Linked DNA regions of Saccharomyces cerevisiae S288C. The gene in region 1 interacts genetically with each later gene. Each region holds a gene or a part of one and is shown in the gene's direction. Other genes may lie near its edges.

Evidence for each region.
Region 2: mutations in HBT1 (region 1) and TFS1 together harm fitness more than expected from each alone (negative genetic interaction), as found in Saccharomyces cerevisiae (one large-scale study listed by BioGRID).
Region 3: mutations in HBT1 (region 1) and EMA35 together harm fitness more than expected from each alone (negative genetic interaction), as found in Saccharomyces cerevisiae (one large-scale study listed by BioGRID).
Region 4: mutations in HBT1 (region 1) and YLL056C together harm fitness more than expected from each alone (negative genetic interaction), as found in Saccharomyces cerevisiae (one large-scale study listed by BioGRID).

Annotation. Positions count from the first base shown.
Region 1 is NC_001136.10:56,427-62,195, reverse strand, and holds HBT1 (Hbt1p), read left to right. Parts: upstream 1-1,790; coding exon 1,791-4,931; downstream 4,932-5,769. Other genes in the region: FMP45 (Fmp45p), read left to right, coding at 395-1,324. UniProt on the Saccharomyces cerevisiae protein: Polarity-determining protein which forms a conjugate with the ubiquitin-like modifier HUB1. Involved in bud site selection and cellular morphogenesis during conjugation. Required for survival during stationary phase.
Region 2 is NC_001144.5:512,245-515,922, reverse strand, and holds TFS1 (Tfs1p), read left to right. Parts: upstream 1-2,101; coding exon 2,102-2,761; downstream 2,762-3,678. Other genes in the region: methionine adenosyltransferase SAM1, read right to left, coding at 1-661; YLR179C (uncharacterized protein), read left to right, coding at 1,210-1,815; YLR177W (uncharacterized protein), read right to left, coding at 2,983-3,678. UniProt on the Saccharomyces cerevisiae protein: Specific and potent inhibitor of carboxypeptidase Y.
Region 3 is NC_001135.5:300,465-304,035, reverse strand, and holds EMA35 (Ema35p), read left to right. Parts: upstream 1-1,814; coding exon 1,815-2,765; downstream 2,766-3,571. Other genes in the region: YCR101C (uncharacterized protein), read left to right, coding at 1,006-1,554; YCR099C (uncharacterized protein), read left to right, coding at 2,737-3,204.
Region 4 is NC_001144.5:26,674-30,292, reverse strand, and holds YLL056C (uncharacterized protein), read left to right. Parts: upstream 1-1,987; coding exon 1,988-2,884; downstream 2,885-3,619. Other genes in the region: YCT1 (Yct1p), read right to left, coding at 1-184; JLP1 (sulfonate dioxygenase), read left to right, coding at 3,299-3,619.

The DNA of each region.
Region 1 (5,769 bases):
CTCGGAGTAATATAAAAAAAAAAGACCAAATAACCAAATTTAAGGGTGCTCTGAATATAAGGGAGTGGAACGTTTTCACACGAAGGAAAAGGGAAAGAGGGGAGTGGTAAGAAGCAAGAGTCAATGAAAGGTCTTCCTTCCTTCTTGATGCTAAAACAAGGATAGTCTGGAATGGGGAGGAGCATTCGGCGCAGATGCCGACATATAAAAGGATGGTTGCTTTGCAACAGTTACTTGATCTTGCTTTGTTCTCTTGATTAGTTATCCGTTAGATGCAAACTTTAAGTACAGTAATTTTGAAGTGAATTAAAAAGAAAGAGGTATTTACGTTTAACGCTTATACTTTCCTTTTTATCCAAGTAACAAGTAACACTAATCACTATAATCTACCGCTATGATTTTCAAAAGGTTCGTTAATTTGCTTGTGTTTTTATTCCTACTCGGTGCTGGCTTATTGACGTTTTTTCTTATTCTGTCAGGAGGCAGAGAATCTGGAACGCTGAAAAATTTTTATTGGTTACAGGCTGATACAAACGGCTTTAACAGCGCTCCATCGACCACGAGATGGTACAATTACAATTGGTGCGGCTACGAAGACGGCCAGCTAGCTAATTGCTCTAGCAGGGCGCCCGCCAAGCCTTTCTCTCCCAGAGACAATTTTGGTAACTCTGTCAATTTACCATCGTCGTTCAGAAACAACCGGGATACCTACTATTATCTATCCAGGGTTGGATGGGCCATGCTGCTGATTTCCCTATTTTTCATCGTACTGGCGCTGGTACCCGGCTTTCTGGCTACCTTCCTTCCTTTCAAGGCAGTGCCAGTCCTGTACTGTGTGTTGTCCTGGTTGGCCTTTTTCTTCATTATATTGGCTGCATGCTTGTACACAGGTTGCTATGTGAAGGCCAGAAAGACCTTCCGCAACAGCGGGAGGTCTGCAAGGCTGGGACCCAAAAACTTTGCGTTCATCTGGACTTCGGTCTTCTTGATGCTCGTGAACGCCATTTGGTCCACTATATTCAGTGCTACCCACAAGGCCCACTCTACCTACTCGGACCACGACATGTATGCCCAATATGAAAGCCCTTCTGTTGACACCGGTGCTCAAATGGAGAAATCCACTTACAATAGTGGGGCGACGGACGGCGCGGGCCCTATCACAGCCGCACCTGTGGTTGGACAGCCTCAACCTACAACCACCACTACTCCGGCTGGCAATGGCAAGTTCTTTCAAAAACTGAAAACAAGAAAGCAGGTGCCATCAGCTGAGTTAGAACCAGCTGGGGATGGTGGTCTTGCCGGGCCAGTGACGGTACGCGACTAGGAAGGAAATAATCACCATAAAATACTTCCTAATTTTTTTTTTCTTCCTACATTCGCAGTACCATAACTCTGCATCTACCTCCAACCGAAATATTTTTTTGTGACATGGTATAATCCATATGTATCGTGCTGAAATTTTTTCTTGGAGATTTTCATTTATTCTCCACCATTCTTTCTCGCCTCCCCTCCTCCTTTTCCTTCTAATAATAACTTAGTTCTTTTTCCTTCTTCATTAAAGAGACTAAGAAAAAAAAAACGTCAATAATACCCGGCACCTTAGTGTAATTAATAGTAATAATATTGAATTTAATTCTTTAATAATACCACCCCCTCAAGAAAATTAATATATAATACTAACTAACTCAAAAACACCTTTTTTTATATGTAACTGTAGAGATAAGAATAATACCGAACACCGTGAAGATTTCCCAGTGGAGAGCTATCAAGAATATCACCCAACCCAAGATATGAATATGAACGAGTCCATTTCCAAAGATGGTCAAGGCGAAGAAGAACAAAATAATTTTTCGTTTGGTGGTAAGCCCGGTTCCTATGATTCCAATTCAGATTCTGCTCAACGCAAAAAGTCTTTCAGTACTACAAAGCCGACCGAATATAACTTACCAAAAGAACAGCCCGAATCAACGTCCAAGAATTTGGAAACCAAGGCTAAAAACATTCTGTTACCTTGGAGGAAGAAGCATAATAAAGACTCGGAAACTCCACACGAAGACACTGAGGCGGACGCTAACCGCCGTGCCAACGTAACTTCTGATGTGAACCCTGTTTCTGCCGACACCAAGTCAAGTTCTGGCCCTAATGCTACTATTACTACCCATGGATACTCTTATGTCAAAACAACGACACCCGCTGCTACAAGTGAGCAATCCAAAGTGAAAACGTCACCTCCCACTAGCCATGAACATTCAAATATAAAGGCGTCCCCCACTGCGCATAGACATTCCAAAGGTGATGCAGGGCATCCAAGTATTGCAACCACTCATAACCACAGCACTTCCAAAGCTGCCACTTCTCCTGTTACTCACACGCATGGTCATTCCAGTGCTACCACTTCCCCTGTCACTCACACACATGGTCATGCCAGTGTGAAAACCACATCTCCTACCAATACTCATGAGCATTCTAAAGCGAATACTGGTCCATCAGCCACTGCAACTACACATGGACATATCAACGTCAAAACTACCCACCCTGTTAGCCATGGTCACTCTGGTTCAAGCACTGGTCCTAAATCCACCGCTGCTGCACAGGATCATTCCAGTACTAAAACTAACCCTTCAGTTACTCATGGACATACAAGTGTTAAAGATAACTCCTCAGCTACGAAGGGTTATTCGAACACTGATTCCAACTCAGATCGAGATGTCATACCTGGTAGTTTCCGGGGCATGACTGGTACTGATGTGAACCCTGTTGATCCTAGTGTTTACACAAGTACAGGCCCAAAGAGTAATGTTAGTTCCGGTATGAACGCTGTCGACCCTAGTGTCTACACGGACACAAGTTCGAAGTCTGCAGATCGTAGAAAGTACTCTGGCAACACTGCGACTGGTCCTCCTCAAGATACAATTAAAGAAATTGCACAGAACGTGAAGATGGATGAGAGCGAACAAACTGGATTGAAAAATGACCAAGTTTCTGGTTCTGATGCAATCCAACAGCAAACTATGGAACCTGAACCCAAAGCAGCAGTCGGGACAAGTGGTTTTGTAAGCCAGCAACCTTCTTATCATGATAGCAATAAAAACATTCAACACCCAGAAAAGAATAAGGTTGATAATAAAAATATATCAGAAAGAGCGGCTGAAAAATTTAACATTGAAAGAGATGACATTCTGGAATCCGCCGATGATTATCAACAGAAAAACATTAAATCCAAGACGGATTCTAATTGGGGTCCAATTGAATATAGTTCCAGCGCTGGTAAAAATAAGAATCTGCAGGATGTTGTTATACCTTCTAGTATGAAGGAGAAATTCGACAGCGGTACATCTGGATCTCAGAATATGCCTAAAGCGGGAACCGAATTAGGACATATGAAGTATAATGATAATGGTAGGGATAACTTGCAATATGTTGCCGGTTCACAAGCTGGTTCTCAAAATACGAACAACAATATTGACATGTCACCCCGTCATGAAGCAGAATGGTCCGGGCTTTCTAATGATGCCACCACCCGAAACAATGTTGTATCACCTGCTATGAAGGACGAAGATATGAATGAAGATTCTACTAAACCTCATCAATATGGGTTGGATTATTTGGATGATGTTGAAGACTACCACGAGAATGATATTGACGACTACTCAAATGCAAAGAAAAACGACTTGTATTCTAAGAAAGCGTACCAGGGAAAACCATCGGATTACAATTATGAGCAGAGAGAGAAAATCCCAGGTACTTTTGAACCTGATACGTTGTCAAAATCAGTGCAAAAACAAGATGAAGACCCGTTGTCTCCAAGGCAAACCACTAACCGTGCTGGTATGGAGACTGCAAGAGATGAGAGTCTTGGCAATTACGAATACTCGAATACTTCTGGTAACAAAAAATTATCTGATTTAAGCAAAAATAAATCAGGCCCAACTCCAACGCGTTCTAATTTTATTGACCAAATTGAGCCAAGAAGAGCAAAAACAACACAGGATATTGCATCCGATGCCAAGGATTTCACCAATAATCCGGAAACAGGTACTACTGGAAACGTAGATACAACCGGAAGGATGGGTGCAAAATCCAAGACCTTCAGCTCGAACCCTTTTGATGATAGTAAAAATACAGACACTCATCTCGAAAACGCTAATGTTGCTGCCTTTGATAATTCCAGATCTGGAGACACTACATACTCCAAATCAGGGGATGCTGAAACAGCTGCTTACGATAATATTAAAAATGCGGACCCTACATATGCCAAATCACAAGATATTACTGGAATGACTCACGATCAGGAACCATCATCAGAACAAAAGGCCAGTTACGGTTCTGGCGGCAATTCCCAAAATCAAGAATATTCTAGCGACGATAATATTGATGTCAATAAGAATGCGAAAGTTTTAGAGGAAGACGCACCGGGCTACAAGCGTGAAGTAGATTTGAAGAACAAACGTAGAACCGACCTTGGTGGTGCCGACGCCTCAAACGCTTATGCTGCCGAAGTTGGTAATTTCCCTAGTTTGATTGACCCACATGTCCCAACATACGGATTTAAAGACACCAACACCTCTAGTTCTCAAAAGCCATCTGAGGGCACCTACCCAGAAACCACTTCCTATTCAATTCATAATGAAACAACTTCTCAGGGAAGGAAAGTGTCGGTGGGTTCAATGGGTTCCGGAAAATCAAAACATCATCACAATCATCACCGTCACAGCAGACAGAATTCTTCAAAAGGGTCTGACTACGACTATAATAATTCTACTCATTCAGCCGAGCACACTCCAAGACATCATCAGTACGGTTCCGATGAGGGTGAGCAAGATTACCATGACGACGAGCAAGGTGAGGAACAGGCTGGTAAACAAAGTTTCATGGGTAGAGTGAGAAAAAGTATTTCTGGCGGTACTTTTGGATTTAGGAGTGAAATTTAAACACTTCTCGATTAACAAATTCCCAGTATTCTTTGAAATCTATTTTTCTTCCTCAATTGAATTTGAATAACTGTCTACGCGGACTCCTCCTATCTACAACTACAACAAATTTTAACCACTTTATTACCACTTTCCTCTTTCATTTATTTTTGTCTTTTATGTTGTCAATTTACTAGTATTTTTTTTTTTTTCATTTACGTTCAAGGTTTTTTATACTCATTTAACTTGTCTTAGGTTATTTATATATATACCTATATATTTATATATATATATATATATGTATGTATATATTATTATCACCAAATGAGAAATAATAGCTAATTTGATTTTTGATTATTTAAAATATTGGTTTGTTCTTTCTGCAAACATCTCGTTTGGTACGATATTAGTGAAAAACGATGTAATTATCAACACGTGCATTACCCAGCGTTATATTTTCATTACCCGGACGTGGTGTTTTTTGTTTTTTAATGTTTCTTAGACTTAAAGAGGAATGGAATGGTTATTTGGATTAAATCATAGAAAAGTACAATTAAGGTTACGGCAGGAGCCTCGAACCGGTAGTTTTACAGAAAATAGACCCATCTGGTGGCAACACTAAATCATTGAAATAATAGCAAACAATTGTTTCAAAACTCCTCCCATTTGGATCTCATCTCAATTGTTTTTTCCTTCTTAGTTAAAAGTTCACGAAATTAGGAAATCTAAGAATCAAAATATAATCCGCTGTTATTTCTGCGTGTAAAGGTTTATCTTCTACTTGTGTCATATTTCACAAATTATCACTTTGCTAAAACAAGGGACTGACTTCTTTCTTTATTTTTCGAGCATTTTTCAA
Region 2 (3,678 bases), on another chromosome or scaffold:
CTCTTGGGATGACTTTTTCAATGATCTCGGACTTTAGTTGCGCTCTTAAGTCCTCGGTCGTGATTTCGTCAGCATGTTGAGCGGAGACGACGACGGTGTCGATTCTTTGTGGAACCCATCTACCGTGGTCATCCTTGTATTCGACGGTGACTTGAGTCTTGGTGTCTGGTCTCAACCACGCTAAAGAGCCATCTCTTCTCGCGTCAGCCATGGCCATGTTTAGTTTATGAGCCAAAAGAATAGTCAAAGGCAAACCCTCTGGAGTTTCATCTGTGGCGTAACCAAACATGATACCTTGGTCACCGGCACCGATGTCTTCCAAATCCTTCTCCTCGTGGACACCTTGGGCGATATCTGGAGATTGTTGCTCAATGGCGACAAGGACGTTACAGGTCTTATAGTCGAAACCCTTGGCGGAATCATCGTAACCAATCTTCTTGATGGTGTCTCTGACGATTTTTTGGTAATCCAACTGTGCCTTGGTAGTAATTTCACCAAAGACCATAATCATACCAGTCTTTGCCGCGGTTTCACACGCAACTTTGGAGTGAGGGTCCTCGGCTAAACAAGCGTCCAAGATGGCGTCGGAAACTTGGTCACAGATCTTATCTGGGTGACCTTCACCAACGGATTCAGAAGTGAATAAAAATGTACCGGCCATATTTTCGTTTATCTTATTTTTTCTTGTTTTTAGGGTAAATTCCTGGTTTTTACTCTATTTTTTTTTCGAAGCTAACCGAAAAACAACGATGAATAACAGACAACACCAGTCGATATATACGTCCCAAACCAATCCCATTAAGTACTAAACGGAAAACTTTTTACTCTTCCCTTTTTCATCGATACCAGAGTGAAAAACTACGATGAGGCTAAAATTTCCTCGAGACAAGAACCCGAAAAAAGAAATGCACTAGTAGGCAAGGGCGCCACCACAGTTTTCCTGTGAAAAAAAAAAAAGAAAGTATTCGTGTGTAGTGATATATAACTTTATCTTCAAATTCTATTTCCGTCTTACGTCCGTTTCGGTACCTTTTTTTCAAAAGATCTTGCCTGACATTTTTTTGAACAATATAAAAGTGCCAAGCGTGCTCATTATTGGAAGTGCGCACCAGGTGAGGAATTGAATGTTGCCATCAATTGTTTGAGTAAACACTGCCCATCTGCCACTTTCGGTACCCATCCGAGTACTTAGTAATAGAAATATATATTATGTCTAGTGCCATCGTTGCTAAACTGAACAAAGAGGACATCATTAAGGACACCGTCAAGGACTTGGCGTTCGAGATTCTTGGTGAGTTGTCGGTTTCGTACGTTGATTCTGACGACATCAAATTGGGCAATCCCATGCCAATGGAAGCTACGCAAGCCGCTCCTACCATCAAGTTCACGCCCTTCGATAAAAGCCAATTGTCAGCCGAGGATAAACTCGCTTTGTTGATGACTGACCCGGACGCGCCCTCTAGAACAGAACATAAGTGGTCGGAGGTTTGTCACTACATCATCACTGATATTCCTGTCGAGTACGGACCTGGGGGAGATATTGCCATTTCGGGGAAGGGTGTCGTGAGAAATAACTATATTGGGCCTGGTCCACCAAAGAACTCCGGTTATCACAGATACGTGTTCTTCCTGTGCAAGCAACCCAAGGGAGCGGATTCGTCCACTTTTACCAAGGTTGAGAACATTATCTCCTGGGGGTACGGTACTCCTGGTGCGGGTGCCTATGACTATATCAAGGAGAACAATCTGCAACTGGTCGGTGCCAATTATTACATGGTCGAAAACACGACCGTTGATTTCAACTATGACATGTAAGGTGCAGCAACCGGCTCGTATAGATACGGATAAGATAGAGTATATTGTGCAAACGCGTATATGAAATAGTGAATATATACATGCCGAACGGTTCCGTTTTTTTTTTTTTTGGCTCGTTGATTTTTCCTATCCCTTTGAACTTTTCTATCTTTTAAGGGATAGAGGGGCTGTTCAGGGAAGGAAAGATCTCAATTGGTATATAAAAAGGGGGCAGCAAGAAACGAATTGCAGTGCTCCTTTTCCCTACCAGTGCATCAATACAAGAACAAGAGAACAAGCAAAAAACATGAACCAAGCAATAGACTTCGCACAAGCAAGCATTGACTCCTACAAGAAGCACGGCATTCTGGAGGATGTAATTCATGACACAAGCTTTCAACCCTCCGGGATACTTGCCGTAGAGTACTCATCAAGTGCACCTGTTGCCATGGGTAACACGCTGCCCACTGAGAAGGCACGTTCCAAGCCCCAATTCCAGTTCACGTTCAATAAGCAAATGCAAAAAAGCGTACCACAGGCGAATGCGTACGTTCCCCAAGACGACGATTTGTTCACACTGGTAATGACCGATCCGGATGCTCCCTCTAAGACAGATCACAAGTGGTCTGAATTCTGCCACTTGGTAGAATGCGACTTAAAGCTGTTGAATGAGGCTACTCACGAGACCTCCGGAGCAACCGAATTTTTTGCATCAGAGTTCAATACGAAGGGCTCGAACACACTAATAGAATATATGGGACCAGCTCCACCCAAGGGATCCGGTCCCCACAGATATGTTTTCTTGTTATATAAGCAGCCTAAGGGCGTGGACTCATCTAAGTTCTCGAAAATTAAGGATAGACCGAACTGGGGTTACGGCACCCCTGCCACCGGTGTTGGCAAATGGGCTAAGGAAAACAACCTGCAACTAGTTGCCTCCAATTTCTTCTATGCGGAAACGAAATAGGTATATATATATATATATGTATATGTATTTATTTTTTAGATTTCAGTGCTTTTCACTTGACTTTTTATTATTTTTGTTTTATTTATGTTTTTGTCACAAACGCGCACATGTTTGTAGGGAGTAATGTCATTGTCAAACAAAACACATAAGAAAAACATGGTGAGATTATTAAAAAAGTGTATAAGTTTATAAAATGTTTATAATGATTATATAAGTTTGGGTTAGCCGAACAAAACCTTCACCAATTCCATATAAACACCGATCTGGAAGTCGTCCAGTTTCAAGCGATTCAGTTCAGGGGCCACGACAATTCCAGTGTTGTCCATGGAATAGTGGGACATCATATCCTGATACATCTCCCACTCAAACTTGTTTGAATCATAAAATTTGGAATCTATCGATAAATTGTTCGGTATAGCACAAAGCCAAATTCTTGTTTTGTAAAACTTAAAGAGTTCTTTGATCAGGTCTCTGAAATCATTACGCTCCTGGCAAATGTAGTAGAAAGTCAATTTCTTTCTGTCGAATTGGAACTCTGCATTCAATATTTTGATGTTCAACCCGCCACCGGAGTTATTGTTATTTAGCGACCTCAGTTTTAGCTGTGCAATGTGAAGAGCCTTTAGCTCATCCTGGAATTTGTTGTGTAAATTCGTGGAGGATTCCCACGGGGTGGCAAATCTCAGAACCTGCTTTGATGGGATGATCAATTGCGTTAGTTCAATGATATCATATAACTTCGGATTCAACTCATGAGCGACCGGCTTACCATTGGTTGTATCAACCAGAGTCTTGATAAACTGGTCATTGGGGAAATGCTGTTGACTATTGGTGATTAGAGAATCAAAGTGAATTTTTTTCTTCAAAAAATTTATAAATAGTGCCAAATTTATATCTACAACCGGTTCCACCACCAA
Region 3 (3,571 bases), on another chromosome or scaffold:
AATTCTTACCTATAATAGCGGCTCGCTGTCCGAACGATTGCGCCGCACTTTTCTGCCTCTTACATTCCCTTTTCCTAAGGCGATAAGCAGGCTGAATGGAAACTACGATATAACGCAGTAGAGGTCCCCCAAGAGCTGGAAAGAAAATATTGGTTTGATAGCCAGCACTATTCTATCCAGTGGGCTCTTGTACCATTTTCTGTGGTATGGCTTTGATTCAACTGCATACGTAGTTAACGCGATCAGCCGCACATGGGCATTATCATTTTCAGGGGTACTGGTAAACCCTATTGTTTAGAAAGAATACCTGGTAAGCGGGTCTGTCGAGTCTTTCCCACTAATTTTGAAGAAAAAATCTTTACCTAGTTTGAGAATAATCGTGGCGTTCGTAACATCACGAGGTGAGAGAGACCAGTTAGGTAAGGGTATGCCAATAAAAGGTTATTGATACTTCAACGAATCTTCATATTAAAAGTGCCTTCACCAGAATAAAATTCTAACGTCATCCTAAAAAGCATCAATTGGACATAGTGAGGGAAAGTTTTCACCATTTAAAATCTATTCTGCAGAATACCATTCTAGACTATGATCCCTTAAAGATTCCCATTCTTTAAATATACAAATCAGGTTCAACAGCGTATCTTTATGGTATTATCGTACTACTGGCGACATTAGCAAATCCAAGTATCCTAACTAGGTTTCTAGTCTTATCTCTTGGTTTTCTCCATTAGATGGTAAACACGTTACCTTGATGGCTGTACAGGAAGTGAACATGGTCAACTCAAAGTCACCGGACTCAAAATAATTGCAATTACCTAGACTGGATATTTTTAGAATATTATGAGAATATTTTTAGAATACTTGCAACCCAAAATATATTTAAATGCCGCCAATTTGCAACCAAAAGATTATCCGCTACCTTTTTTTTAGTCATTGAATTGTAGCATAAAGTTCCGAGCTTTGAAAAAAAACTTTGAACTAAGAAAAGGTAAGAGATCCTCAATTATGATATTACTTCATGCCATATATACTCTTTGGGTAATTATACTACTTCCGCTACTCAATGCAGAGAAATTTGTCCCAAAAGTAACGGAGGCTCCTATAGAAACATCATTTAATCTAGTGAGTTTTGATGATTCCAACACTTCTATCAGATTAGATGGTTGGGGGGTTGTATGGATAAGTTTCGACGCTGGAGAAAATTGGGAAACGGTCAAAGAAATTGAAGAGCGCATTTTCAGATTTACTGTTGATCCTTTCCATGGACAGGAAAGAGGTTTCGCTTTTATATGTGAATCACCCAAATTCTACATTACCGACGACCGTGGGGAGTCATGGAGGGCTTTAACTATACCCTCATCAGAAGAATATTTAGATGGCGACTGTTTTATAACTACTCATCCTAGAAACAAAGAACTTCTTATTGCGAATTGCTATAGCTATATGATAGACGCAGACGTTTTATATGACCCAAGTGAAATTTACTTGAGCAATGATGGGAATCCTTTTTTAAAATTAAACCTTCCTTGGAAAAGAAAAAAGACGACGATATAACAACTTAAAGCTGTCATTTCATTAAGTCTAGCAAGGATTCTGACTTTACTGGTAATGATACTTCGATACTCTGTTTGTTCTCTAACCGTGAATACGATGAAGAATATCGCTTAACTGCTACCTACACACAGTTGGCTTTCAGTAGTGATGGAGGCAAAACGTTTAAAGATTTTGATGAATTTAAAGATAAGATTGTTACTCAATACAAGATATTGAAGTCATATGTGGTCGTTTTAACGCAAGATGACGGGCATAACGAGATGTCATCTACGGACATCTGGATATCCAATGATGCATCTACTTTTCAAAAGGCACAGCTGCCTACTCAATTACGGCACGTCAAAGTGATTAAAATTCGTGAAGATTCTATCGGAAGGATCATCCTTCTTATATCGACAGAAATCACAAATGAGGAAAATGCTGATCCAGATCTCTCAGAGATTTTCATATCAGATTCGCAAGGGTTGAAATTCTCACCTGTTGAATGGACACCAAACCATCAGTTTGGAAATTTTAGGCTCACTTTTCCTGATTTCTTGAAAGGGACAATATTTGGATCGTTTCATCCTTCCATTGACTATTCTAATCACCAAGTAAACTATACTGAAAATATAGCCGGAGGAGAAACCAAAATATCCGTTGATAACGGCCTCACATGGTCAAATTTGAAAGTTGTTGATGAAGAAAATGCCGATTCGTTCGGCTGTGATATCACTAGGCCTGAGAGATGTTCACTTCAGGGTTATTTTTACAATCTAAAACTTTCAAATCCTTCTGCTGGGATCATATTAATGACAGGTTCTGTTGGCGATGACAATGAATTCGATCGGAAGGACCGAAAAACTTTCATTTCTAGAGACGGTGGTCTAACATGGAGGGTGGCCCATAATTCTTCTGGATTATATGCTACTGGTGATCTGGGAAATATTATTGTATATATCCCGTCTCCTTCATATAAAGATGGTGATGTACAATCCAAACTTTATTTTTCCTTGGACCAAGGTAGAACATGGAATCAATATGAGCTTGTTGACGCTTTATTTTATATCCATCCATTAGAGTTGATTAATACAACGCCAGATGGATCAGGCTCAAAATTTATTTTAAGCGGACATCTCATTACTACGGCTAGTCAAGAAGGAAACAACACCAACATCTCATATATTGCAAGAAGTGTCCTGTATGCGATCGATTTTTCTGCTGCATTTTGACTATAAAACGTGTGAAGAGGAAGATTTCGAAGACTGGAATTTGGCAGATGGGAAATGCCTTAATGGCGCCAAATACATGTATAAAAGGAGGAAACAGGACGCCCGTTGTTTGGTAAAAAGGACATTCAAAGATATGATTTTGCATGAAATACCTTGTGACAGTTGTACTGAATCCGACTACGAATGCTCTTCTGAATTTGTTAGAGATGCAAAGGGTGACTGTATACCAGATTATGATCAGATTGCCCTTTCCGATATATGTGACAAAGCTAATGGCGAAACTGTATCATTAGAGCCATTACAATTAATTAAAGGAGATAAATGCAAAAAGCCCATGGAAATTGAGGCCATGAACATTCCATGTGAAAAAATCCTGAGGGAGAGCTCGAATGGTAAGAAAATAGCAACCATTGAAAACAAGTTTGACTTTGAAATTTAATTTTATCAATATTTCGATACAGTTTTGGGTGAATCTTTTATCATGCTTAAGTCAATAGAAGATGCCTACATACCTCACGATATGATGAATAAACAGTAAAAATGTTCGACACTGACGACAAAAAATTGACACTATTCGGGACTGATGTCATATAGAAACATAAGGTCTTACTATTTCGTTAATTTATTATTGTGATATGTATTTACAGTGTAATATGAAGTTGTGTTTAAACTATATTTTAATTCCAGGGTTTATTTGTTTGGCTCTATGAGTAACATTTTCTCAACTCAAGACAGAGGATGCTTTTCTATGATGGCTAAATTGCCTGAAACCAGACAACTAGGCATGCCACCAGATTTTGGTGATG
Region 4 (3,619 bases), on another chromosome or scaffold:
AGGTGAATATTGTGAGAAAAAGCTTTCTCTTTAATTTTTTTTCTTGTTCAGGCGTGATTTCTGGAACTGCTGCGTCATTCTCCTCCATGAATGCTAGCGTAACATCAGCGAGTCTCGAAGGAACTAGGATTTCATCAGAAGAGGAGATCGAGTCTGCTCCAATTTTTACGTCAACTTTTGACATTTCTTTTTTGTTATATTTTCTTTTTTATTTTCTCTTGATGTTTTGTTCAACCTTCAAGAAGTGCAACCTGAATAGCTAAATGTCGAATCAATCGTCTGTTTAAGTACTTTGATTTTTCCGACCTCTTCAATTCAACAGGTACGCATTTTTAACAATACCTATTCATCTTGACGTCCAGTTCCTAGGGACCTGCGAAATGTTTTAGCTATCTACATATTACATCACCGTTCCAGTGAGGGGAGCCACCGTAAATGGAAGAACTTCGAACACTATTGCATGCTGCAAAGACGTGCCTTCGATGCTCAGTGACTGAAATGTACAAGGGGTAGCCAGATGTCTTACATCAAATGGGGTGCCTATTTTTTTTTTCAGAAGCCACACATTTTTGTTTCTGCAATGCCACCTGCGACTTCGAAAAAGATTCGCGGAGAGTTAACAGTCATCGCCACAAGTCTGGTCCTTATCGGCCAATATGGGTGGCGCTATGTACGTTGTGTCACACTATTTTAGTCAGCAGCGCAGACCAAAGACTCCGTAACATCACAGAGAACTTTGATTATCCGTTATCTTGTTAAGTTTTCGCCGCAAAGCTCGGATGCTGAACTCGGATGTTGAACTCGGATGCTAAGAAGATATCCGTGATTTGCATCCGAGCTTGGCGTACTATTGCTATAGTGGTAGCCACAATTTAGAATTGATACTCGGAACCAGCAAGGGGCAGATGGATTGAATGTAGTTGATCGCGTGTCACGTGACCAAATCGTACTGGTAAAGAACTGAAAGCACACGCAAGTAGACAAAATCAGCATGTCATTTTTTCTGAAGAAATCTTTCATAAAACTATGAGTCTTCCCAATCAGGTGTGGTGAATATCCAGATGCTCTGGCCAATCTGTAACATGGTGAGGCTTAAGAAATTTTTTACATACTGGTCAGAGCACGATTGATGGTGCCATGACTTTCCGCTTTCGCCATTGCGAAGGGTGTTGCATAGTGTATACAAAATGCATGATACATAACATCTCAGAAGGACAGATATGAAAGGCCTAATTGTCGGAAGCAAAAGTCAGAGCTCACGTCCATACAATTGAGTTGTGCTGATTAAGGATTTCAAGGGCGAGCGCGCATCTAGTTAGCCGAAGGAAAGCGGGCTTGGCATCTGGAATCTGTTCATTTTTGAAGTCATATGATTTTTCATGCCATATATTTATCACAACGCAAAGCATTTACAACCAAGTAACCAATGAGAACGGTGGCCCCGTGATAAAACCTCACGTATGACACACTGGAACATAATTTTATTGTTTTTCACCTCTTAGTGTTTTCTCTTTCGCGAGGCAAAATCTGAAGACATGAAATGCAATACTCTTATGCTGCGCCAATGACGGTAGCACTAGGGTATTGTGACGTTATGCAAAAAGAGAGAGAAAGAACAATATGAAAATAGAGAGGACGGACATAAGTCTTCCGTGGAAGAAAGAAACCATCGTTTTTGCAGATGAGATTCTTTTTCCAATGCGGAAATTAGCGGAACTTCTCAACATAATAGATTGTGCTGGAAAAAGTTTAAAGGGAAAGCCGCGGATTTAATTTGCCATTAGTTCTTGGCTTTCCTGAAGATATGATTACTAACACAAGGATATTAAGGAAAAAAAGTAGGCGATGAAGACCCTCAAGTACTCAACTAACGTATAAATAACGGCTCCCGCTTCTATCAACTATGCTTACAATCACTCTTGTATTCATAAGCGCTAAGGCGTGATAACTCAACTTTTACAAAAGAAAATAAAAAAGAGATCAAAAAATGAAAGTATTTATAACTGGTGCTTCTGGCTTCATTGGTTCTGCCGTATTATCTGAACTAATATCCTCGGGTCATGAAGTTGTTGGCTTGGCAAGGTCAGACGAGGCTGCTGCAAAGATTAAGTCGATTGATCCTGCTGCAAAAATCCTTCGCGGTGATCTCAAGGATCTGGAAATTTTGAAAAAAGGTGCCACTGAATCTGATGGCGTTATTCATTTAGGATTTGTGCATGATTTTAAAAATTTTGAACAGTGCTGCGAAATTGACCGTCAGGCCACTGTAGCTATGCTAGAGTCACTTAAAGGTTCTAACAAGCCTTTCTTATATACGAATGGTACACTTTCTTTGCGACCAAACAAAGTTGCTAACGAACAGGATGGTATTGATGAAGATTCCAAAATTTTGCGTGCTGTCACTGAACAGGTTGCCTTGAGTTACAAAGACAAAGGTGTTTCAGCAAGAATTGTCAGACTCCCATTCTCGGTTCATGGCAAGGGGGACAAGGCTTTTGTACCAATATTAATGAATATTGCCAAAGCTGCCGGAAAATCTGGCTATGTCGGACAAGGCACAAACGCTTGGGCGGCTGTACATCGTTTGGATACGGCTCCTCTGTTCAGACTTGTTTTAGAGAAAGGAAAAACAGGACAAGTGTATCATTGCGTTGGTGAACAAGGTATACCATTCAAAGATATTGCGCGTGTGATTGGAGAAATTTTGAATGTTCCCGTGGCCTCTATCCCTGTTGATGACGCGGAAAGTCATTTTGGCTTCCTCACTTGTTTTGTCACTAGAGATGGCCCAGTTTCAAGCGAAGGTACCAGAAAAGAGCTGGGATGGCAGCCACAACAAATCGGTCTTCTTGAAGATATCCGTGCGAACTATAGCTTAAACTGACTTGAAGCTTATATTATGCGTTTTTTCTAAGAGCGCCATAGCATGTAACGTTTTTTACATACTAGTTAGCTTTATCTATATAGTCTACTGTGCAGCTTAAAATACCCAACTCATGCGTCTCATTGGACGAGCTCTTGGCCCTTGGAAAGGTGCTATATTAGTATATAGGGGAATGATGACAAAAGCCTCAATGTGGCTTGAGTCGATTTCTTATTTGGCGCCACAGGGCACATGGAGTTTATTTATCATACTACTAACATAAAGAAGGTATGTAGGCAATACAACAAGAATGCTGGAAAAGTTAAGGAGTCAGTAACAGTTCTTGATGACAGAAACATATAAAAAGGTGTACTATTGCTGTATAATCGGCCCTTTCATACTTGTACAAACATAGCACAGTAACCCAGTTAAAATATGTCTCCTGCAGCAGCTCAAACAGCAATCCCTCTTCCATCTACCGATTTACCAGTCAAAATCATTACAAATGGGTTGAAAAACCTGAATTATACCTCCAAGCAAGGTTACGGGAATTTTGATACCCATTTTTATGATGGCCAAGATGAGGTCTCTCCATCTGGTTTATTGAAAATCCGTAAATCTTATAGAGAGAAATCGAAGTATCCAGATTATTTGCCTACATGGGATCCTACTGAAAAGTATGGCCCGCTGGAATTTCACGAATACCATGATCCTGCTTTGAGAGCTGACGGTAACTTTTCAAACCTTTTTGCAAAA